2 linked regions of the Lepisosteus oculatus genome follow. The protein of the gene in region 2 interacts with the protein of the main gene of each other region in a biochemical or structural test. Links are inferred from orthologs where the notes say so. Each region holds a gene or a part of one and is shown on either strand. Other genes may lie near its edges. The genes, in order: mef2d and cabin1.

What was found.
Region 1: the proteins of cabin1 (region 2) and mef2d form a complex in vitro, tested with the Homo sapiens proteins (2 studies listed by BioGRID). The link is inferred for Lepisosteus oculatus from reciprocal best matches to the Homo sapiens genes CABIN1 and MEF2D.

Annotation. Positions count from the first base shown.
Region 1 is NC_090722.1:4,541,159-4,552,608, forward strand, and holds the start of mef2d (myocyte-specific enhancer factor 2D), read right to left. Parts: upstream 4,375-11,450; 5' UTR 4,167-4,374; intron 1-4,166. UniProt on the Homo sapiens protein: Transcriptional activator which binds specifically to the MEF2 element, 5'-YTA[AT](4)TAR-3', found in numerous muscle-specific, growth factor- and stress-induced genes.
Region 2 is NC_090717.1:9,544,173-9,556,083, forward strand, and holds the start of cabin1 (calcineurin-binding protein cabin-1), read right to left. Parts: upstream 5,228-11,911; 5' UTR 5,153-5,227; intron 4,505-5,152; 5' UTR 4,460-4,504; coding exon 4,457-4,459; intron 3,724-4,456; coding exon 3,631-3,723; intron 2,796-3,630; coding exon 2,682-2,795; intron 2,089-2,681; coding exon 1,954-2,088; intron 1,228-1,953; coding exon 1,047-1,227; intron 1-1,046. Other genes in the region: ddt (D-dopachrome decarboxylase), read right to left, coding at 8,984-9,056, 9,535-9,710, 10,278-10,385. UniProt on the Homo sapiens protein: May be required for replication-independent chromatin assembly. May serve as a negative regulator of T-cell receptor (TCR) signaling via inhibition of calcineurin. Inhibition of activated calcineurin is dependent on both PKC and calcium signals.

The sequences.
Region 1 (11,450 bases), on a different chromosome or scaffold from region 2:
TAGAACAGGGCAACCACCAAATCTGCAATATGGCTAGCAACAAAATTAAGAAATAGTGCCAATACAAAATATACAAAAATAACAGCATCGTGCGTTGTGGTATATTTATTTTAGTAATGCCAAGCGATAATCAACAATTACAGTTCCTCTTATGTGCTGCCATTCAGAGGTGTTAAGATTAACTTGACCTAGACAAAGGCGCAGAAGAGAGGAGAGGGATCACTGGACACTGGACACTGGACACTGGACACTGGACACTGGACACTGGACACTGGACACTGGACACTGTGCTTGGCTGAGGAGCTAACGGTGATATTGACTGAACACCCCTGCGTCAGAATTACCCAAAAAAATCTTCCTCTAGGTTGATCACAGGTCCAGCTGCAAGCTCTAATCTAACATCAGAAGATTAGTAAAGAGAGCTTCTCTGGTCCAGAAAAGCCACTGTTATCTTCTGGACTTTGTTATAGTCACAGTTCTGCTTAATCAGAAGATGTTAACAAGCTCCCTTGAGCACAGATCATCGACCCTGAACATAGCCTCCAACACCAGCCCTGGAGAGCCCCATTCGTGTTTGCAGAATATTGGGAACACACGAAAGCTAACAATCAATTAAGCCGATTCACTTAATTGACTCCTTAATGGAATGAGCTCCTTGATTCTGACTGCTTTCAGAATCAGAAAGCATTCCCCCCCCCCAAAAAAAAATAATCTGAGCTTTGTAAATGACTTGTGAAACACAACAGGTCTGCCTCTGATGTGTAGGAACTGAAAACAAGGAGTTCAAGTTAATCCTATTAGGTCAATTTTGGGTTCAATCATGTAACAGCGCTCAATTGGAACAAACAAAACAGCAGGTGTGCTCAATTAAGGCAACTGTGGTCCTTGAGGGTTGAAGGGTATTGTGAATTATTCTCCAGATGACCGCTAAATCGCTCAGTTTAACACCACCTGCTTATCTGATCAGAATGAAATCGTTCCAGACGTGGAGAAATGAACAATTTAATGGTTATCCAAGAACCCTGTGGGAGCGCGGCTCTCCAGAAGCAGGGTTAAGACAACAGTGCACTAAAAGCAGTTATGTGTCGGTTTCGAGAGGTCTGCATTGATTCTGGCGGTGCGGAAACGCCGTGTGTCCAAGCCTTTTTACAGTTTCTGCAGCGAGGGTCTCCGTGGGAAATAACGAACTTCACTGCCTCTGCTCAGAGAGCAACTCCACTCGCCTCTGGCCCTGGAGAGCCACAGTCCACCAGGTTTAACAGCCAGCGCGTCAGCCTCAGCAAGTAAAGAACTGGCTAACTGGCTAACAGAGCCATTCAATCAATCAATCGTTTTACCAGGGGCAGTGCCCTTCACAACACTTGGCCACAGAGTGCTTGGCCGGGTGAAAGGAACAGCTGATTAACCGAGTCGGGAAGAGTTGATTTCGCCTGTATTCATTTGTCTTCCACAACAAGAGCCCCTCAACCTACAGCAGATAGGGCAACAGCGCAGGACACAAAACACCATTTCACAACATCGCTCCGTCGGAACTCGTCGGTCCGAACCGAGTCCAGGATGGAGAAAAAACCAGGAGGCCGGCGTGGCCCTGCGGGACCGGAAGGGAAATTCAGTGTTGCGCTGGCAGGACTGGGTCACAAGCCCAGGGCAGGACTGACAGGGATAAACGAGGGGGGCTGTGCGAGCTCACAGGCTGCAGGTGAACGCCCTCTACAACCGGAACGTCGCGTCTTCTCCCCCTGTCCGCGGGCCGCGGGCAGTGACCCCCCCGCATGCTGCCTGAAGCCCAGTGGGGCGTCAGGTCGGACACAGCTCAGGTTTGCCCATCACACTCCTTTCACAGTTCTGCACAGCTCTGATTTGAGCCCAGCATGGCTCCTGCCCTGACCCCTCACTGAAAGAAAAACAGGATGAACTGTAACTGATTGTTTTCAGCTCCTTAGGTGTGGGAAGTTGTTCAACCAGAGGACACAAGTGGAAACTTTGTACAAGTTAAAGCCAAGAACCTTTTTTTTTTTACACAAAGAGTTGTGGGAGTGTGGAACACGCTGCCCAGCCAAGCGGTTAAAGCCAATACTTTGGCTTGAGATACATGGATCAAATAACTGTTAATGGCTACAAATGACTCCTCTCATTTGTCTGTTTTAAAGCTCTTAACTACAGTACGTCATTTCCTAATTAAACATCTCCAGCCACTTTCAGCAGTTTGATTAAATACAGGGCCCAGTAGCAGCGAATCCCAGGACCAGAACCAAGGCTGCACTAAAGCGATGACCCAGCTTCCAACTCGAGATTCGGACTCAAAATCTGCTTTGCCTTCCAAATGAAGCGGGCGGGCCGGACGATCTGTTGTGCTTTTGCGAAGTCCGAAATCTATAGCAACGGGACGGACACGTTTCAAAACGGATCCCGTGTTTAACGGGTTTCTTTCAGCTGGGACATCAAATTAAACACGGCGAACGTTTTTTAAAGCTTCATTTTCCCTTTTGCCGCGATGGTCCTTCTGGGGCAGCGTCGACGAGAAGAGTTCACACTTCTGTGTTTCTATGGTGACCAGCGGGTTTGATATTTTCTCTCTACTGTACAGTACAGTATCCCTGGCGTCACAGCCACTTTAACGTCAATAGTGTGGGGGTTAAGTATTTATTAACAGTAATAATGATAATACTGATGGGGATTATTATTATTTTTTACCAAACACGGCGTTACTTGAGGAGAGGAAGGGGGAAAAGACTTTTTTGGCGGAGGGGGCGGGCGGCAACGAGACTCCGTGTCAACACAAAACGTGTGACGCCTTGTTTCCTTCACGTCGGGACGGGGCCCTCGCAGACGGAGCTCCCACAGTCGCCGCGTTAAGGGCAGGCGGTCGCCCCCTCCCCATTCTGTACCCCAACTCCTCCACACAGACCCCCTCGCACCCTCAACAAGGCGGTCTGGGGTAGGGTACAGCCGCACGCGCAGGAAAAGAGGGCTCGGGCACCCTCCGAAGCAGTGACGTCGTCGTCGTCAGCAGCAGCACGCAGACACGCAGCGGCTCGCGGCACGGTACAGCGCGTGTGCTGGGTTCGGCGGTAGGTCGGTCGATCCAAACCTCCCTAAAAATAACGGTCAGGCGAGTCGGGGGGTCCCCGTCCCACCAACAGCCACCCCACAGACTGGCTCCACACGCAGTGCGGGACTCGCCTGAGAGCCGCCCGCATTTCTTTCTCGAAAACGGATCCGGCCGGCGCTTTCGTGACGAAAACGGAGCTTTTGTTCGTCAACTCCAGTCCGCCGCCGAGGGGTCGTCTGATGGTGACGGTACAACCCGGGCGGCGGGAGAGTTAGCTTTCCTACGCGAATGGCCCCCCAAAAAGACGCTTGTTCTCGTTTTGCCAACTGTTTGATCAGTGCCAACCCACTTTCAAGGCATACCCTCCTGAGGAGCGATCCCTCATTTTAAACATCTCAAAACATTCATTTTTTTCTATGCAAGTAAATAATACAGCACACGAACCATTTTCCGAATAACCCCCCCCCACACATACACATACACGCGCGAATGTTATTTTGGAGCGGCGTTCAACTCATATTTCAGGAAAATACCACCCTGTCATGAAAAAAAAACAACAACAACACATCCACTCGAAAACGTGCCACGGAAATGAACACAGTTCGTCTCCACAGCGCGACCAAATCCACGCTGACAGCTTCAGCCGGGGGGTTTTGACAGCTCCTGTCACGACGGCTGGCCCTGACGACGACACGGAGCGCGGATCGCCCCCAGAAGAGCAGAGGGGGGGAAAAACAACCCCCACGCAATGTTCTCGGGGTTGGAGGACAAGGCGAACACGCAGAAATGGGTCTCGAACCCATCTTTGTTTCCCAAAGCCTCCCTGGGAGACTGGAGAGGGGTGGAGGGGATCGCCGACAGCCATTATAGCAACAGCAACGACAAGAGGACCACAGACCGGGCACGGAGAAAGCCGGAGTAAACAGCAAAACCGACGGTGTCCGGACCCGCTCCGGGGGCCAGATCGCACCGGCTGAGCACGACAAACTTGTGAAAAAGGGAGCGAGAAGCGAACCGACATTCGTGGGGCAAAACAAAAACAACCACAGCAGCAGCAGCAGCAACTGTGCGGACGTCAAAAACGCCAGAGGAAGGAATCTAATGTCTCACTCACCCGAGAATGTTTTTTTCCACAGCTGCGAGGCACAACGGGTAGCGCTATTTCCTTTACGATAAAAAAAGTATCAATAAAGGACGTCGTTCTGTTTTTTTTAAAAAAAGACTCCGTCCCCCTCTCTTTTTTTCCCCCGTCTTGGCTGTACAAGGTAACTATTTAGTTCAGTCAAATGATACAATGTAGAAAGTATCGTGCAATCTAACCTGGATGGCCCTCTTCTCCTGAGTGGCGTGTCCCTTAGCCAATCGCGGACGGCGGCTGGCGCGGCGCGACCAATGAGACGCGGGCAGAAAGGATAGGTTGTTTGTGTAAACGCGAGAGAGGAGAAGGGGAGGGAGAGGGGGGCTGTTCAAGTTTGACTGACGAGTGTGTATCCCTCCGCCTTGTCAATTAGATTTGCTTGGATTATTTGGAAGGAAATGTCTCTATTAAAGGTACAGGCCTTTTTTTTTCCGCCTTACATTTTTAAACACCAACAGTACGATTCTTCCTCTTTATGGGTACTGATCCTCTTCACTTCAGTTAATTTAATTTTTTTTTCATAACCGGTTTACTTTTTGGTTTGTAAAATAATCTACAGTAAAAACTGAACAGCCAAATACAACACAAATGATCCTTTTATTATCTCGCAACATGACATAAATATGCAGACAGCGTATGTCTCTGGCCCAGCGCTGTTAATATAGCATCCTCATTATATAAAATAATTTATTTAACAAAAAATGTTAATCTAACACTACAAGCATTAAGTTAGAATACTATTATTTTCCTTTAATTTCTAACTTCTACTCTTGTTGCTCCAAAGTTGGCCTATATATTGATTTTAAAAGTTCAAAAGCTACTATGGCACAAAGGAATTTTCAAAAGCGACTTTTTTAAAAACTATTGCATTGTTTTAAGCACTGGTTGCATTTTGAAATCCAGCCTCCACAATGTGAGCTGCAAATTTCTGCTTTCAAGTGTGTATAAAATCCAAGTCTTATTAAAATAGCAATTCAACAAAAATCATATCAATTTTTCCCCCCAAAAAACTGACACTTGTCATCCTGGAAGAGCAACAGACCTGTCTTGTAACTTTCAAAAGAAAATGTGTCTATTATTATATATATATTATAATTTAAGAATAGAATCGACTTGGAAAGCAGTAGAAACTACAGTTCGGAAACTGCACCCCCTCTCTTTCAGGAGCGAGGTCGTTGCGCTGTTTCACCTCTGCCAGCGCACGGCTTGTATTTTGTTTTTCCACAAGGCAAAGTCTTGTGGCGTCATGATTTAAACACCATTTTTAAGGGCTCACGGGTGGATTTGAGTCGTTGCGTGAACGATAAAACGACTTACGACACAGACAACGTTCCAGCTCGGGAGGTGCCTTGATTAGAGACGGTGAACATAACAGGATGGACACGCTCAGGCCCGGCGCGCGTCGCTCCGAGTTTACAAAATACAATTAAAAACCCTGAATCTTCAGCTACCGGATTGTTTGCAGGTGAAACAACCATTGGAATATATATATTTTTTAATCATAAGGCTTCAGCAAAATGAGTAACGCGCAAAAAAAAGACGAAAACAAAACCAAAAATGTGAAAACACGCGCCCCAGCCTCCACTGACAGCACTGAACTCCTGTTAAACCAGCGAGGTTCATGCCGACGTGGCTGAAGTGTCTTAAATTCACTCGACTGCTGCCGGTCCCAGCCATGCTGACCGGAGCCCATACATCAGCAGGGCCCGGGGCGAGCTGTTAGTTGGTGATGATTAACCTACGTAAGAGTCCAGCCGGGGCGAAATCGCCCTGTATTTAACGGAACGGCGTGTTTCAGCGCGAGAAGGGGCTATTTTTGTGTGTGCCGCAGATCCGGGAAAAAAAAAGAAAGAATGCAGTTTCAGACTTTTCACGCCCTTTACTCTCAGAAAGAACCAGGCCGGTGGAGGTTCCTCCGACTATATCGTTAACTTTGCCACCCAGGGGCTTGATGGGATATTTACTTACCTTAGATAATTGATGTAGATATTAACCTTTGCTGAACTGGTTCCATTCTTTACCCCTCTGCTCCTACCACACTTAGTACCACCGCCCACGGTCTCCTCTGTGCGTTGTAATTATGTTTTATAGGGTGAATTTTTTATTGATCGTTGTTGTCATTCTGTAAAGCGCTTTGAGACGCCACATTGAAAGGCGCTATATCAAATAAAGTTTTATTATTATTATTATGTCAGGTGGGTAGCTGCGTCAGCATGCGTAGGCTGCAAAGGAACAAGTAATAGGTTTATTCCATGCTGAAAAAAAGAAGAAAGAGAACACAACGTTTCGGCTGTGGAGCCTTCTTCAGGACACCTGAAGAAGGCTCCACAGCCGAAACGTTGTGTTCTCTTTCTTCTTTTTTTCAGCATGGAATAAACCTATTACTTGTTCCTTATTATTATTATTATTATTATTATTATTATTATTATTATTATCACTATTATCAAAATAGTTTTATGGTGTGAATTTGCTCGGGATGCCTCGAATACCGGACGTGGGTGTGCTCATTGGCTCCTGGGCCGGACTGTCCAGGCTGCGCGCTTGTACCGAAGCGGGAATGTGCGGGTGACCTTTACAGACGATGAGGGCAAAACTTCCAACAGCTCTGCGCTGCCCTGTGTTTATCTGCAGCGAAGGTGCTCCCCGGCTGCCGGCTTCGCGCTTTCGAAAAAGAAAGAAAGCAACGACAGCGCCTCGGGTCATAAACAAGCCGCTCGTCAAAATCGAAAAGTGTTCTTCCCCTCCATCTCTTGCCAAAGAGCGAAAGAGGCAACTGTGTCACCGACACCTCAAACCGATCCTTAAACTCGTGATATTGTTTTGCCCGAAAAGACCCCCCCACACACACATACACACACACTCCCCGTGTGTAAGACATGGAGATTTCCATTTTTTTTTTAAATAAGTAAGGCCTCACATTAGGCTTAAATAAGCAAAACTACTGTCGAAGAAGTAAAAGGGACTATTTCGTACGTGGACGGCGGAGGGATATAGTGTTTACTGTGAGAACAGCAGTGAGGCTGCTACAGGGCAGGGAGAAAATGAAGCAAAGTAGGACAGCGACCAGGTGGTGTCTTGGGGGAAGGAGCGGCCAGACCTTTGAAATATTGCTGCAGACCCCAGTAGCGTCCCTCCAATAGGACCACACGCGCTCTTTAGCCACGCGGGGTGAGGGCGGCAGGACAGAATGTCTCGTTTATTCTAGAACGCCTCGCTCCAAATTCTCCTTACACCTCCACGTACGTCACAACTGCGTCAGAGTCTCCAGAACTACCGGTCAGCATGTGGGGGAAGTTAAAGCAACCCGGACCGATTTAAATGTCACCCGGACCACACGCGCTTTGCTGTTGTTTACATTTTAGACGAAATCTCAGCCATTAAAGAAGATCGCAGTAATACGTCAGAAAAGATATGCATTTTCTTTCTCTATGAACTGTTATACAATTAAAGGGTACAGTTGATCTGGAGCTGGGTTTGCACCTGCAGTAAGTGGCAGTAAGGTAGCCTCCCAGCCTTAAGCAACGTTTTAATAAGCAGTTATGTACTTAATAGAAAACTGCAAAGTGCTTAATTGGTAGTTAGTATAAAAAGATAAGGACTAAGACTCAGGTACAATAATAAGACCATCATTAAGTGTATCTAAGTTTAAAAATAATTGTCATGCTTTTCCTAACACTGAAGTAACAAAGCCTTTTGAGGGGAAAAAAAACTGTTCAGCATTGTGGAGATAGTCAGCCAGGGGTCTTCTGGCTCTGAGGCTTTATAAGGGGCTCTCGCGCTTGCTGTGACATCAGCGCAGATCCTCCAATCAGCGCTCACTCCCCCGCGGGGCGCCGCAGACCCTGTCACGCAAACCTCCAGGTGGCGACTGGACTGGGCGCTGACTCGCGAGGACAGCTGGGGGGCGATCCCGGGCCTTTATTCAGTCCCGGTCCAGGTGGTGTCACTGTGAGCCTGACTGTAAGCAACACAGTCCGCGACTCCAAACTGGACGGGCGTGAGGAATACAGTAAAAACCCCTGCTGTCTGACACCCTCACACCTCCAGCGACTGAACGGCTCTCGGCGACCCGCACACGCCCCAGCAGACTGTATCGCAGTGGGAGTTTTAAAAGCTGGTTGCGAAAAAGAACATACTTTTAAGAGAAAAGTCCCATTTCGTTTTTCACTTAGGCGTTCTCCTTAGGGCGTTGTAGCTGCAGCCGGTGTGATCATTTAAGATTGAACTCTTCAGGAAGTTGACGCTCATCTTCATTCGGCAAGCAGCTACGATAGCGCAATAGTCAAAACTAAAAAGGCACTTTGAAGAAGCACGAAACCTTACTAATGTGAATCCAGCACTGCGTGCTAAGGGTCAGTCGACCACAGACCTGAAAGGCAGATTTAATTGAGCTGTGAGTTTTCCTACAGCGATCGTGAGAATGTGACTGTTTGGTTTTTTGCACGTAGATTACTTTGAATGAACTAAAGTCTTGTTTGAGTGGCAGGCGCCAGTGTAGACGGCCGTGAGGGGGACGAATACTTGGTCACAACCCGAGTCCAGCGCCCATGGGGTTGTGGCACCCGCGCGCAGGCCACCCTCGCGGAGGGACAGCGGAGGCAGCCCTCGCACGAGCGCCCGCGCATGAAGGAAGCCGCGCGCTGCACGGAGCCAGCCAGCTCTATTAAAAAAAACCCAACAAAAAACAAGTTATTTTAGGTGCTGTTATTTTTTCTTCTTTCCAATCCTAGCCAGGGCTAGACAGTGAACGGTGGGTTTAAAATAGAACGAGCATCGCTGGCGGTCTTTAAAAATACACTCCGGAGAAGGAAAAAACGAACCGAAGGATAAACTCGTGTGTGTAGTAGGCCCAGCAGGACGGTGGATTACAGCGGGTTTTTGTATCTGTGTGTATAAGGAGCTTACACTTAATCTGTAGAGGAAATGTCAATGAGAACAGATGGCAGGCCAGTGAGGGGGATGCCTCTTCCCTGGGTCTGTAGTGGACAGGGCTCAAAGAGAGGACAACGTCCAGAAAGATGCCTGTGGACACTACCCTTGCCATCAGATACATTCCAGGGTTTGAGGGAGGGGCGTGCTGAAGGAACCGAGTCTGGAACAGAGAACCTGGGGAAGATTGGACAGTCCTCAGGGGGACAGACAGCGTCACAGCCAGGGGACTTCCTCAGAGGGGTCAGCGAAGCAGGAGCCAGGGGACGCGGGTGGACACCGGGTGGGAGAGCATTCGAAACTGAGAGCGGGCAGGCGCGGCTCTACGCCAAGAGGGGTGGGGGTGGGGAACAAGCTGCCCCGACCTGTTGATGGATCCTTTTCGGGAGACACCTGGATGAGATCCCTGGCCACCACACAGGCTGGACGGGGCCGAACAGCTCCTCGGGTTTGGACCCGCTCGTGTGTTTCTATGTTGAGACAAGAAGGAGGGGGGGCAAAGAAGGCATCTGCCTTCCCCAAGGATGGGGGGGGGGGGTTGTTCGATTCCTGCCCACCCCTTCCTCCAGAATTCGGAGGAAGAGTCCTGCACTATTACACACTGAGCACCATAACTCCTGGTACATGGCTAGACTGCTGTAGCCATGCATGTCTTTGGAGAGCAACGAAACTGGACTTAAATTAGTGCACATGGATGCAGGAGCAATTGTGTTAATCGAACTCATTAATAAGTGCTGCTGTCGTGCAATCTACACTATAAACCCTCAGAAGAGTCATCGCACTGCTATCTGGTTAGAGTTTGCATTACGTCAGCAGCCATATCACCCTGCAACTCACAACTGGCAACCCACTGAAGCTAAGCAGGTGTGAGCCTGGTCAGTACCTGGATGGGAGACCTCCTGGGAAAAACTAAGGTTGCTGCTGGAAGAGGTGTTAGTGGGGCCAGCAGGGGGCGCTCACCCTGCGGTCCATGTGGGTCCTAATGCCCCAGTATAGTGACGGGGACACTATACTGTAAACAGGCCCCGTCCTTCGGATGAGACGTAAAACCGAGGTCCTGACTCTCTGTGGTCATTAAAAATCCCAGGGCGCTTCTCGAAAAGAGTAGGGGTGTAACCCCGGTGTCCTGGCCAAATTTCCCCCCTGGCCTTTACCCCATCATGGCCTCCTAATAATCCCCCTCTATGAATTGGCTTCATTACTCTGCTCTCATCCCCACTGATAGCTGATGTGTGGGGAGCGTTCTGGCGCACTATGGCTGCCGTCGCATCATCCAGGTGGATGCTGCACATTGGTGGTGGTGGAGGGGAGTCCCCATTACCTGTAAAGCGCTTTGAGTGGAGTGTCCAGAAAAGCGCTATGTAAGTGTAATAATAATAATAATAATAATTACACACTTCATCCAATATTTATGAAAAAATGATGATTATTTGTGAAGTTTTGTCGACATGAGGAACAGGAAAAAAACAGAAAATGTTAGTATTTCATGTGAAGAAAGACTTCAAGCCCCTTTTCTCCTTGTTTCAGCAGATGCATTGATGAACTCTTCGCCTTGAGTCTTGCGGAGTTGGAAACTCTATTTTCTGATGGGGAGATCTTTAAAGCAAAAGTCAATTGGTTACAAAAAAAAATAAACCGGTGATCAAAACGGCTTTGAATGTCGATAAGCCTGACAACCTCTGTATCACAGTTACACAACAACAAGTCGCTATCTGAGCGCAGCACCACGCTAAAGTCAGACATTGACTAATTTAACACTGAAGCAGTGTGGCAGTGACACTTAAGATGAAGTTCTGGAGCCCTCTGTCTTCATGACAGAGAGTGGAGTAGTGTATCAGGTCATTCGACTCATGACTGGGGGTTGTGGGTTCGAGTCCCTGCTGTGGCACTGCTATTGAGGGATGTGCTTCACCCAGGTGGTTCCAGGCGACCAGCACTGGTGGGGGGGGGTGGTCATCCCTGTGATGGCCAGTGTCCTGTCCAGGAGGGGTCACATGCCCTTTAGTTCACTTGACACTACGGAAACCAGGATGAGCTCTGGCCCAGTGAGTCGCTGTGGTTCAGGTTAGGATTATCTTCACTGGCCTGAGCGTGCTGTTATCGCCCCACACTGACAGGCTGAGGGACCGAACCTGTTACCTCTAGAACAGGAGGACTGCAGGGAGACCTGCGGGCAGTATTTACCATCCTCAAAGAGTCAACCCAGCGGGCCTCTCCAGAATGAACAGTGAAGCGAGAACCAGAACCAGGGCCGGATTTTGGTGTCCAAATGGGAGGAGGAGGAGAGACTGGGTTGAACGGTCTCGTTCTAGGGGATGGGCCACTGTCGTC
Region 2 (11,911 bases):
AAGTAATTTTAGCAATGAATTTCAAGGCACATAAAAACGGTCAGTCATCATTTGTACATATTCAATTCAGCTTTTCGGAGTCTAGAGGGAAAAGCCTGTGGCTAAGAGCTGATAAAAGGCTGCCCTGTGGCTGTGTGATGTATAATTGATCAGAGACAGTTTTCCCCCCTCTTGAACTCCTAGTGGAGTTAACGACTTGGTGACAGCAACCTTGCAGACTGCAAAAACTTATTTCAATCCACAAACGGCTTCATTAAAACTAAGCCAAAAGAAACATTTTACATTGGACCGTACTTATTTTGGAAAAAGGAAAAAAATACCCAGATATGAACTTATCTTCACTGGCCAAGCAAAGGTTTAAAATCCATTTGTTTTTTAACCACTTTATCCAATACAAAGTCACGGAGCAGCTGGAATCTATCCTGGTAAGCGACAGGTGCAAGGCAGGACACACCCCGGATGGGACACCAGTCCATCGTAGGGCTCACGCAGATACAAACACACGCACACACTCACACTAGGGTCAATTTTCACAGAAGCCAGTTAACCTACTCGTATGTCTTTGGACTGTGGGAGGAAACTGGAGCACCTACAGGAAACCCACACAAAAACAGGAAAAACATACAAATTCCACGCAGATCTATTTCCAGGGCCAGAATTGTACCCAGGGCCCCTGCTCTGTGAGGCACCCCAATCAATGCTAACCACTAAACCACTGTGTCGTCCAAAGTTCAAAATGCCAGTTAATTTTTTCAGCATCGCAGGCAAGCACCACATTCTTCTGATCAGCTATACATTGGAATGTAAGAGTACCTTTCTTCCCATTACAAACCCTTTCTCAATACCATGTCTGTTTAATGCACCATCTTGTGTCTTCCATAACTGCAGGCAGTTTTACAACAAAACACTGTTGGCCTATTACTAAAGAAAATCTGAGGCACATGTTATTATTCTATTCTTTAACCACTTTTTAAAGATTTTACAAAGCACTTATATCCACCTCTAACTGGCCCACAGCTCTCCACCTTGCAGGTGGGGGTACTCACAGCTGTAGTCGCTGAGTGTGTAGAGCACAGTGATGAGGTTGTCCAGGCAGGGCCAGTGGTCGGAGTTGCAGCGCAGTCCCTCCTCAAAGGCGTGTCTGGCCAGAGGGATCTTCACCAGCCTCAGCGCCACCTGGCCAATCTTGTACCACATGTTCACATCGGTGGCATCCAGGAGGACGGCCTACAGCGCAACACATACAACTTGTAGCTCCGGCAAAATAGCACAAAGACACAAAATAAAAATATGCTACTCTTTCTCAGAATTATTTCTGTTCCCTTTCCTTCAGAACTAATCACAAATGATAAAATCTATTATTCTATTATTAGACTAAACCCTAACAATCTCAGGTCTGCTTTGGCCACACACTTGCACTGCAGCCTGCAACAATTTAGGGATATTTGTTTGTAGCACTATATTCAACAGAAATTAGTGAGTAATTCCACTAATAAATGAGCATGTACTAAACAAACTGAAAAAAACAATCCCCCTACTCCATTTACAGATGCCATTTAACAATAAGAGCTTCAGGAAGCTTATCTAAAGAACAATGATGTGACCTGTGCAAATTAAAAGGGGTAATTCCACTACAGAAGCTGGAAATTTATTCTCAGCTGTAGTGGCTGTATTAACTGGGAGCAGTGGTTCTGTGGCTAAGGATCTGCGCTTGTGGCTGGAAGGTTGCCGGTTCAAATCCCTCGGCCGGCAGAGGAATCCTACTCCGTTGGGCCCCTGAGTAAGGCCCTTAACCCCAACTGCTCCAGGGGTGCTGTATAAATGGCTGACCCTGCGCTCTGACCCCAAGCTTCTCTCTCCCCGTCTGTATGCCTATGTGTCTCAGGGAGAGCATGCTGGGGTACAAAAAAAAGACCAATTCCTAATGCAGATAAGTGATCTTATCTGATCTACCTCCAGGTAGAAGTCCATGGCTGTCTCCAGGTCATCCCGCAGTGCGGCCAGGCTGGCCAGGTTCTTGTAAGTGGAGTATTTCAGCATCAGCCCTGGGTGCTTGAGCCCTATCTTCTCAACATCTGAAGGCACCGCCTGGAAAATCCAGGGAGAGAGCCCAGGTCATGGAACTTGAAAGCATACTTTTGTGAAAAGCGGGTTTTAGAAAGGTTTCCAACAGTCAACTGCCTCATTTCATTCTTTAGTGTATTTACATTTGGCGTATTTATTAATAGATAGCCCGACAGAAAGATGGACAGATGAAAAAATGAAAATGCATCCATTTGAAAATATTTACCAACTTCCCTAGTGCAAGACAGCAACAGTTTTATTGACGATATGATACAATAATATTTTTATCTGATTTCTCAGAAATTTGTTTTGCCTCCAAGCAGTTATGTTCAACCCACAGAGAAACAAAAATAAAACACAGAAACAGTACACATAAAAAAATATAACACAAAACACATTAACCCAAACAAAAACATTACTCACCACTTCTACAGGAATCCAAGTTTACTTTCCAACAATCACCCAAAGATCCTAGAAATATTTGCTATTTATCCTGTATCCTAAGTAAAATGACCTGATCTGTAAGTCTATGAACACTAGTCACACAACGCAAAAGATGTATTTTGTAAGTCGTATGATGATGGGACAATTCACCATTGTGTACATTACTGTCTCACCTCTTTAAGCAGCGGGGTCTCCAGGAGCTCGTGATAGGCCTTTGCAGACTCCTCAAACCGGTCATGTTTCTGGAGGTCCAGAGCTTTGTGGTACAGAGCAAATGCCTCTGCCTCCTACTCAGAGAAAGAGCGCTCAAACTGTGCAACAGTCTGTACACTGTTCAGACCTTCAGCTTTCCGCCTACCACCAAATACACAAACACCTACCAAACTGCTGCTTCCCCCATTAACACAAGAGCAAACTGGGCACATGCTTGAAGAGCAATGCCCCGAGCCCGTTACAGAAGTGACCCTCTTCTGAAAGCGTAGTGCAGTGTAAAACTCGGCCTTGGCGCAGGACTAGTTTGTTGGCGTGCGCGGCCGAGTCATCTGCTGTCTAGGAAGAGTCACTGGACAGAACGGAGCCCAGGGGCAAACGGGATCAAAGCCCAGCAGGAGCAGAGGAAGATGCGCTTATCACACATGCATATTCCATACTGATTAATATAATAAAATATAATCTCTCCGCGTGTGTTCTCAAAAATGGTTTTCCCAACTCCCACATCAGAAAGACTACAGAAAATAAAATGATCCTGCAGCTAGGATCACACCCTTGTCTCAACACCAGGCTAATTTTCTTCTAAATTCTCTCTGTTCACTGTAGGTTTAATTTCACACCACCGAGTGGCCACTCTGTCTGTCCCCTGCTCCCACCCCTCCTCTCTACCAGCTTTTGTTCTCCTGCTACTGTACATCACCTTTGCTTACTGCCCTGTCTTTCTCACACCTGAAGAAGGCTCCAGGGCCGAAACGTTGCGTTTTCTTTCTTCTCTTTTCAGCATGGAATAAACCTATTACTTGTTCCTTTGCATAATAACATATATTTTTTAAGATATAAAATGCCTGAACCCTATGAACAGTATGGCCCAGGAGAGCAGGTAACGTGGGTATTAAGCCAGAGGGAGCTCACCTGGGCCTCCTTGGTCTGCGTCTTCCTGGTTTTCTGCAGGTCATCGTGTTCGTCCCCAGTTGCCGAGGCCGCATTCAGTGCAGCGATTCGGATCTGGAAGTAAAAGCCAGGGTCAAGCCTTCAGGAGGTCACGATGAGCCTAGACCACACCTATTTCAACTCCAGGGAAAGACCGGGTGAGAGGCCACGGTGTCACGTCGGGAAGCGTTTCCCAACAAGCGCGCCATCAGACATCAACTGGTGCGCTGCCCAATTCCAAACCAGTCCCACCTGGAAATAATTCACCGACAAAACATATCGGCTTTTCCAGGCCAGCAGGCAACTGCTGCGGCCAGGACCATATCACTTTTTAGTGAATGCCGTAAAAACATGTGCCTTAGGCTGGAAAAGGTTCGCAAAAACCAACACAGGAAGGAAGCCAGTTTAATAAAACCCCTACCAGGATGCAATGTGACCAAGAAAAAGCTTAAAAATGAGTGAAACTTTGAATGTATATTCATGCTCAATATAATCCTATATTACTATAATTATATTACAAAGTGCCATTAAACTGAATATGCAATGCAATACTTTGTGGAATTTGAGACCCTAAAGAATGACTCCTTTGTTGATTCATAAAATAACATTTAATTATTCATTCAAAATCACTGCTATGTCTGAAGTGTGGGGTTCACATCAAAACAATTACAATTTGTATTAAACCCCGAAGAACAGCAGGCCAGTCTGTGTAATTATTTAATTGATTAACTTAATAAAAATACAAAAATTAAAAGAAATCAATATGGTTTTCTTCACACGTTGCTCTTCGAGAGAAAATAAAATGTACCATTGTTTTCTTCAGCACCAGATTCTTCTTACTTCATGTTGAGAAGACCTGCAATAAACAGCCTTTTTCAATGAAATGCTTTATGACAGAACTATCGCGATGTTTTTGTTTTATTCTTTGATACAAACTGCAGGCATTTGTTTATCAACACAATCGTAACATACTATACAAGCGTTAAAGTATTTTAAGCTCTCTGATGTTTCTCTGGATCATTCTAAGAAAGGGGGTTCAGGAAGTATATATAATGGACTGTATTTATTAATACTATTAACACGTTATTCACAAAATATTACTTTCAATTACATGCAGCACCATTAATTTGATATATGGCTGCACACCAATATCCCACATGCTAAGGTAAACGTTTGAAATATAACAATTTGCCGAGTAAAACTAAAACCACATTTTGGCAACGATAGATTTCAGTATATTTCATGTATTTATAACATTTAACTCTACCATTTTCAGTTTTTTAGCTGTAATCAGGAATCAATTGGTGCGTTTCCTTCACCCTTTCGCAGCTATACAATAACTCAATCAGCTCCCCAGTGACACAAGCATGTTCTGCAACACTACAAATACTCAAGATTGTATTCGTTTTAAATAAAAGAAACAAACCTAACTGTTGACTTTTATATAAATAGAGGTGCGCAGAACGATGCATGAAATAGCGTTAAACGTATTTTAATTCTTTACCTGCGCTCCTTTCCAAACTGCACTTTGCTTGTCTGTTGTGAAGCATCTGCCAGCAACAGCCTATCCTACTGGTTCAGTCTGGCCGGTGAAATTCAGCCAATCACAAACTCATATGCTGGTAACCAGGCACAGCAGGACTGGGTTCTGTGGAAAGTAACTTCTGTGGACTATTGTCCATATACTCTACATCGGAAAATGTTTGATGAGAGAACGGATTAAACATCTTTTGCTCCAAGTAATTGCTATTTAAACCTGGCCCAAGACAACACAAGATTAACACTATCAATGATAGTATCATGAAGAAGACTCAAATTGAAATATTATCCTTATAATACTGTAATTCGATTTCTACTGTCAACGGTATTTTTAAGGGTAAAAGTGTCTTATTTTACTCCAATTGGAAGACAATATTATTCTGCATGCAGCTATGAAGGGGATAGTATGAATTATAAAGCAATAAACTTCGATTAAATTTCACATAAAAAGGTGAAAGTTACAAAAATGCTTTGTAAATAAACACATTTAACCCAATTTATTTTTTTTATTCTACAAAAGGAATGTTCATATTTCCAAAGGAACAAATGACAATGACAAGATAATTTTCAAGTTTATTCATGGACACCGCGGCAAATAACGTGAATGTTTTGTTTACATACAGAAGTAATTACAGCTGAAGAATGCTATCATTTGCATTAAATTAAACCAATGCATTACATTAATTATCATTAAAGCGCCCATTGTTAATCAGATGTATAGGTTTTAACTATTTGTGCCTCAGCCAAGGCAGGTCTTCGGTGCCTCAATAACGCTGATGAGACCCACTTTAAAACTAAATCCCCACATTTCCAGGACATACTTGGTACAAGTGACATTTTTTGTTAGCGTTTTCACAGCTCCGTGAAGTTGCCCCCCCTACAGACAGCACAAACGATGAAACCCACCTCATTCATTAGTGCTACGTTTGTGCCGGTTTGTGCTGTTGAAAGTAGCGTTTGTGCTGTTTTCGTTCCCGAGATATAGCACCTTGTTTTCCCGGTGATCACATGACCATGCACAGCGACTTTGACCTCGTCTGCCGAGTTCAAGCGCTCTGTTACAGTTTAGCTCGTACCCTTAACATTTTAAAGACAATCAATATCCATAAACATATGAGCCGCCTTAGATGTGATTTATACTTAGACATGACGCACGCCAACAAGTTAACTATCTATGACATAAAACTGTGGTTATAATGTATGTAAAATCACCGTGATTGTAAGATCAATGTTTTTTATTATCTAAGACGCTTTTCTTTTCTTTCCCTACCGTGACACGCTGTTTCCAAATGCGTAACTGTGGGATACCATCGCGACAAGACCTCCGCAGCATGTCATGATAGGGACCCCATGTATAAGGCATGTATATCGCGGCAGTGTATATCACGAGTGGCGCCTTGCTTCCATGGCACCCTGGCACCACTGTCACAACAAAGGTCTCATATCAGAACATGATATACCCAGATAGGACGTGTCCCGATATATGGACTTTGTGTGTCGCATATATGGACTCCAAGTCTCGATATGGGGGCGGGACATTTTGTCGGGGTATGTCATATCGGGATATACAGGTTTCATGTCGCGACATGGGCGTGGCAGTTTTGGTCATATCGCGATATATAGGGCTTCATGTCGCGACATGGGCATGGCAGTTTTGGTCATATCGCGATATAGAGTCTTTCATGTCGCGACATGGGGCTGGGCATTTTTGCTGGGGGATGGCATATCGCGATATACAGTCTTCATGTCGCGACATGGGGGTGGGCGTTTTGTTGGGGGTACGCTATATCGCGATATGCCGTCTCCATGTCGCGACATGGGGGCGGGGGCGTTTTGTCGGTATGTCATATCGCAATATATGGACTTAATGTCGCGCCAGTCGCAATGGGTATCGCCATGTGATCGTGATGCGCGCACTCCTATCGTGACATGCTATCGGAGTCGTGAACGCGCTGTGGATACCATGACATTCTTTGTCTGCTATTCTGTTTAAACCTCAGGGCGACTTTGTGCGAGATTGATCAGTAATCGGAAACCAATGGATGTGTTACTGTTACTGTGTATCCAGCGTGCTCATACAGCACACACGGTACACAGAACTTCCGCTGTGGCGCTTTACCCAATCAGAGTGTCGATTCTCACTCTTCACCCAATCGCGGCCCGAGCTGTTCGGGGGTTTAGCCAATCACGGGTCCGAGAGCTGTTCAAGCCAGCAGCGCCAGGTGGATCGGCTTGTTCACTGTCAATGAGAAACTATTTTTAAAATGCTTTACTTATTTGCAAAATAACTACATCGGCTTGTTTTTATTGACGTCTTTATTGATTCACAATGTCCCGTACCCTTCGAAATAAATACATTTATTTGTAGTATAACTGTCTCCGCTGCTTTCCGTAATGAATACGTGGTATTTGAACAATTTTAATCGTATATTTAAGGTATGGGAAACACCTTCTGCTTTGTACTTCAAAAATAAAATATAAATGTAAGTCTATGATCGTTATATTATTATGCTCGTACTTTCAATTCTGTTTTTAATTGTTAAATTATCTCGATCTTGAAACCAATACCTAAAAATGTGAATATGGGCTCTCGTGTTGTACAAGCGGTCATTTGGAAACTGGTGTCTCTTCAGCAATGAAACGAGTACACAAGCAATACATTTTCGAGAACATGGTTAAATGTAAGACTGTTTATTCATGTAAAGGCTGCAAAGTCTGGGGTCAACTGATCAAAATCAAAGAAGGTGCTATATCTCGGAAACAAAAGCAGCACAAACGCTACTTTCAACGGCACAAACGTAGCTCTAACGAATGAGGTGGATTTCATCGTTTGTGCTGTCTGTAGGGGGGGGCAACTTCACGGAGCTCATTTTCACTAACTGAGAACAAGAGGGCATGATAGAACAAGTGAACGTACACAGTCACGTTAAGGTCTCTCTTCATGATGATTATACCTTGAAATATACAGATAAAGACTTTCAAATGTGGCAATTAAAAAAATAAAAGAGTATCAATCAGAATATCAGCAATGTGCTATAAGCAGACACATGTTAAAGATTTTCTGAGTACCAGGTTCAGGTGGTAATACCTCAATGGGAGTGAGGCATTATGCAGGGTTACCAGAAGACACTCACAGTTAGACAGTTCAGCAGAGCAGACCAATGAAGGAAGAAAGAGAAAACTCAGGGCAACAGAGAACAAATATTAACACCGTGTCAGGAACTCAGCTCACTTAAATACAGAATCTCTTTTTCCAATTAGTCAATACCTACAATTATTTATTCAATTCCAGGCACCAGCATCTAACTAAACTAATGAATATCCTCAGGTCACTCTTTTTAACCTCCTATTCTAACAGAACCAGCCAATACATCACACCAGTTCTCACAGGGGATGTTTTTACACCCAGTCTAGCCAGCTGTGTAGGATAAATCTCAGTCTTACACAGCAGACAAAGGTGCTCTAAAAGCTGCTGATATATTGACCTTCCGTTCTGTTTTTAATGCCTCATAGCCATAAGTAAGAATTTATAACAATCCTTTCATGTTGTTCGTCCTTATAAAGAAATACATCTGGAAAAGGGATCCCTTGACTAGACAACATTCCTTCTTATAATATTTTTTTTTATTTTTGAGTGTGTCACATTGATATCTGTTACATATAAGGAGCACTAGGAATTTATTAAACAGAAAAATGTGCTTCATTCTGCACACAACTGTCAAGTATAAGAAACAATCCACACTCTCTTTCCTGGTGGTGCACTGCAGCAATAATGTGACATTTGTATCCTCATTCTTCACAGGAAGGTCATCACAGTCCCTTTCTTCCCAACTTGCCAGGGTTCGAGAGGCCAGAACCGGAGGACAATCCTATTAGGAGGAAAATGAGAAATCTTGAGCCCCATTTGTAAGCCATTCACATGGCCCAATCGCAATCATTGTGTCCCCAAACTCGACAACTTTGTTACCAAATTCTTAAAATATGTTAACATTAGAAATCTAACCTGAGGATGATACCTTCCTTTGTGTAAAAGAAACTCTTAAGGCGCTGTTTAATTTAACAGCAGGGCTCTTAATAATAAAAAGTATCTGAATTTTCCATATCTTCCTTAAGCCTGCTGGGACAGGCTCCGACTCCCCTATGACCCTGAACTGGAAGTGGTTAGAAAATGGCTGGGCGAATTTTGTGTGAAATTGTGTAAAACTCTGTGGTGGTTTTATTTTTCCCCATAACTGCGTGGTAATATGTGTAATGTGCAGCATCTATCTAAGACACACAGCCTCCAGTGCCACTCTCGGACAGTGGAGGGGCTGGAGGGTACTTGAGGATGCTCTTGAGTGCACTGACCTGTCTTCGCTGAGCCCCAGCTCCTGGGTGAGGAACTGGAAGATCTTGGCACTGTGCTGCTTGTTCTTCTCCGCACTGTCCACCACCCCAATGGCAGAGACAGTGACCTGCACACAAGGAGCTGAGGAGCCAGCCATGAGCATGGACAGGCCTGCCCTCACAGTCAAGTTCATCCTCTGTGGAGGAGAAGCCGAAAACAGCAGGAGTCAAGCACACACAACTGTCCTCTCCAGCCTGGCTAGTCAACAGCTGCTATTAATAATAATAATAATAATAATAACCATCCCCAGGCATATGTGCAATTCATCAAATACACATTCACTGATAATCTGGCAGTGGCATAATTTAAAAAAATGTGAATCCGTGGTTAGAATTCTGGACTCTTAATTGGAAGGTTGTGGGTTCAAATCTCTGGGGGGTCACTGCTGTGTTTCCCTTGAGCAAAGGTACTTCACCCGAAATCTCCCAGCTGTATGAATGAATGGGTGGATGCAAAGCTAAACCCGTTTGGATGAAAGCGCCAGACAGATACATAAGTGAAAGGGGAAACGTAGCTTTCCATCATCAACACTATGCGATTTCCTTCCTTTTAAAACGAACTTTATTTTGCATACAAACTACTCGATGTGGAAGTCCCCAATCCGAAACAATGTATCGTCCAAGTTCGAGGACGCTTCAAGCACAATCAGAACTGCTTCAGCTGCATCCAATATGCCGTGAAAGCAGTTCAGTCTCACACTCACGTCCTCGGGCTTCCCTAGTACCGCCGCCGTGCTGGAGCACATCTTTTTCAGAAACTCGTCGGGAAATTTGCTCGAAGGCAGGTTGCTCTCCAGATCGATGAACGGCATAGCGTCCTCCACAAACTTTATCAATCAGACGAAAGAAGTTACAGAACCTAAGGGACTATACGAGGACACCTCAAGCCGGAAAGCGGTGCAACTTCACTGCTCATTGGCTGCGTCCGCAACGCCTGTTCCGTGGCGTTCTTAAAGGCGCAGAGAGCAAGGAAAACTCCTTCAGTTTTGAAAGCAAATATGTCTGGGTTAAATATGTCTGCCGCCGCATCACAAAATCTAGAAAACAAATGCGATGAACCTGTTTAATGGTATTCACAAAATTGTCTACAGTAAGGCAATGACACAGTGCGAGCATCAAGTTCACTGTATAGTTACAAGAATATCGGATTTAAGAGCCATACGACTTCATGAGTTAATTATTTCCAATAATTATTCTGACCATTGAACATTGAATACTGAATCAAGTGTAGCGTTACTGAGCTCCAAGATCGAATCATTCGTCTATTCAGGAACAATGTGTGTGCACAGGACGTAACCTTCTCTTTATCAGAAGCTCATTTATAACGAAAAGGTGGTCCGGACTGAGAAAAAAAACTCTCTCTTTTGTGTGCATGGACAAAATTCTGCGATGTGCTTTTATGGAACCCTGACATTCCATGATTTCTCTCATGAATCATGCTTGCTTCAGTTGCTGGAGCTCTACTCAGAAATTGCATGCTATAAATATACGTTTTTACTTAAGACATTTTTACTTTTTGTAACCTAAAATTTATGAGGAATGTTGGAAGTAAGATGTTTTGTTTCTAAACTATGCTTTTATCTTTTTTTCTGCTCCCAAGAGCTGGGTGAAGTTGGTCACATCCTCTACTCTATGAAAAATGCTCTGCAAACCTTTTGGATGGAAAGTTCTGTATAAATTATGTAGATCTTTAAAGAAGAAACCCACTGATCCAGTTATGCATGACTTAAAGGATAGGGGTGTTTTTTTTCACATTGATTGGTACGGTCATCACATAAAGTGGAAATGCATGGTATTCAATCCAATATAGAACTCTATTAAAATAACCAAATACCACACTTGAAAAACAGGTTCCTTATTAATCACACAATGTACACATTTAATGTATGGCAGTGTTGCATCCCAATTAATTTTAGCATAGCGATTCCCAAAACAACTTCCTGTGGTCATGCAACACATTCCTAGGGTTGCGTTTAACAAGGTGTAGGATATAATTCATGAAACTGGTTAATAGTGAGTCACATCATGTGTTGTGTCTCTGTTGTCATCAAATTAGGGCTAGATTTGTTTTACAGTAATATCTTGGTTTATATACATTGTTTGTTTCTGGTTTAAAGACTCATGCCTTTCAACAGTTACTTTTTTCAAAATAAATATTTCAGAATATTACATTTGACTGCTGGCAGCAAAAGATATGGACATGTTTCCAAAACATTTTAAAAGTTAAAATTATTTATTTTACCGTAAATCCTGATAATTTACATTTTGCACAAGAAAAACAAATAAAGGGGTTGATACAGCAATGAGATAATCCCCTTATTGACAAATAGTGTTGATG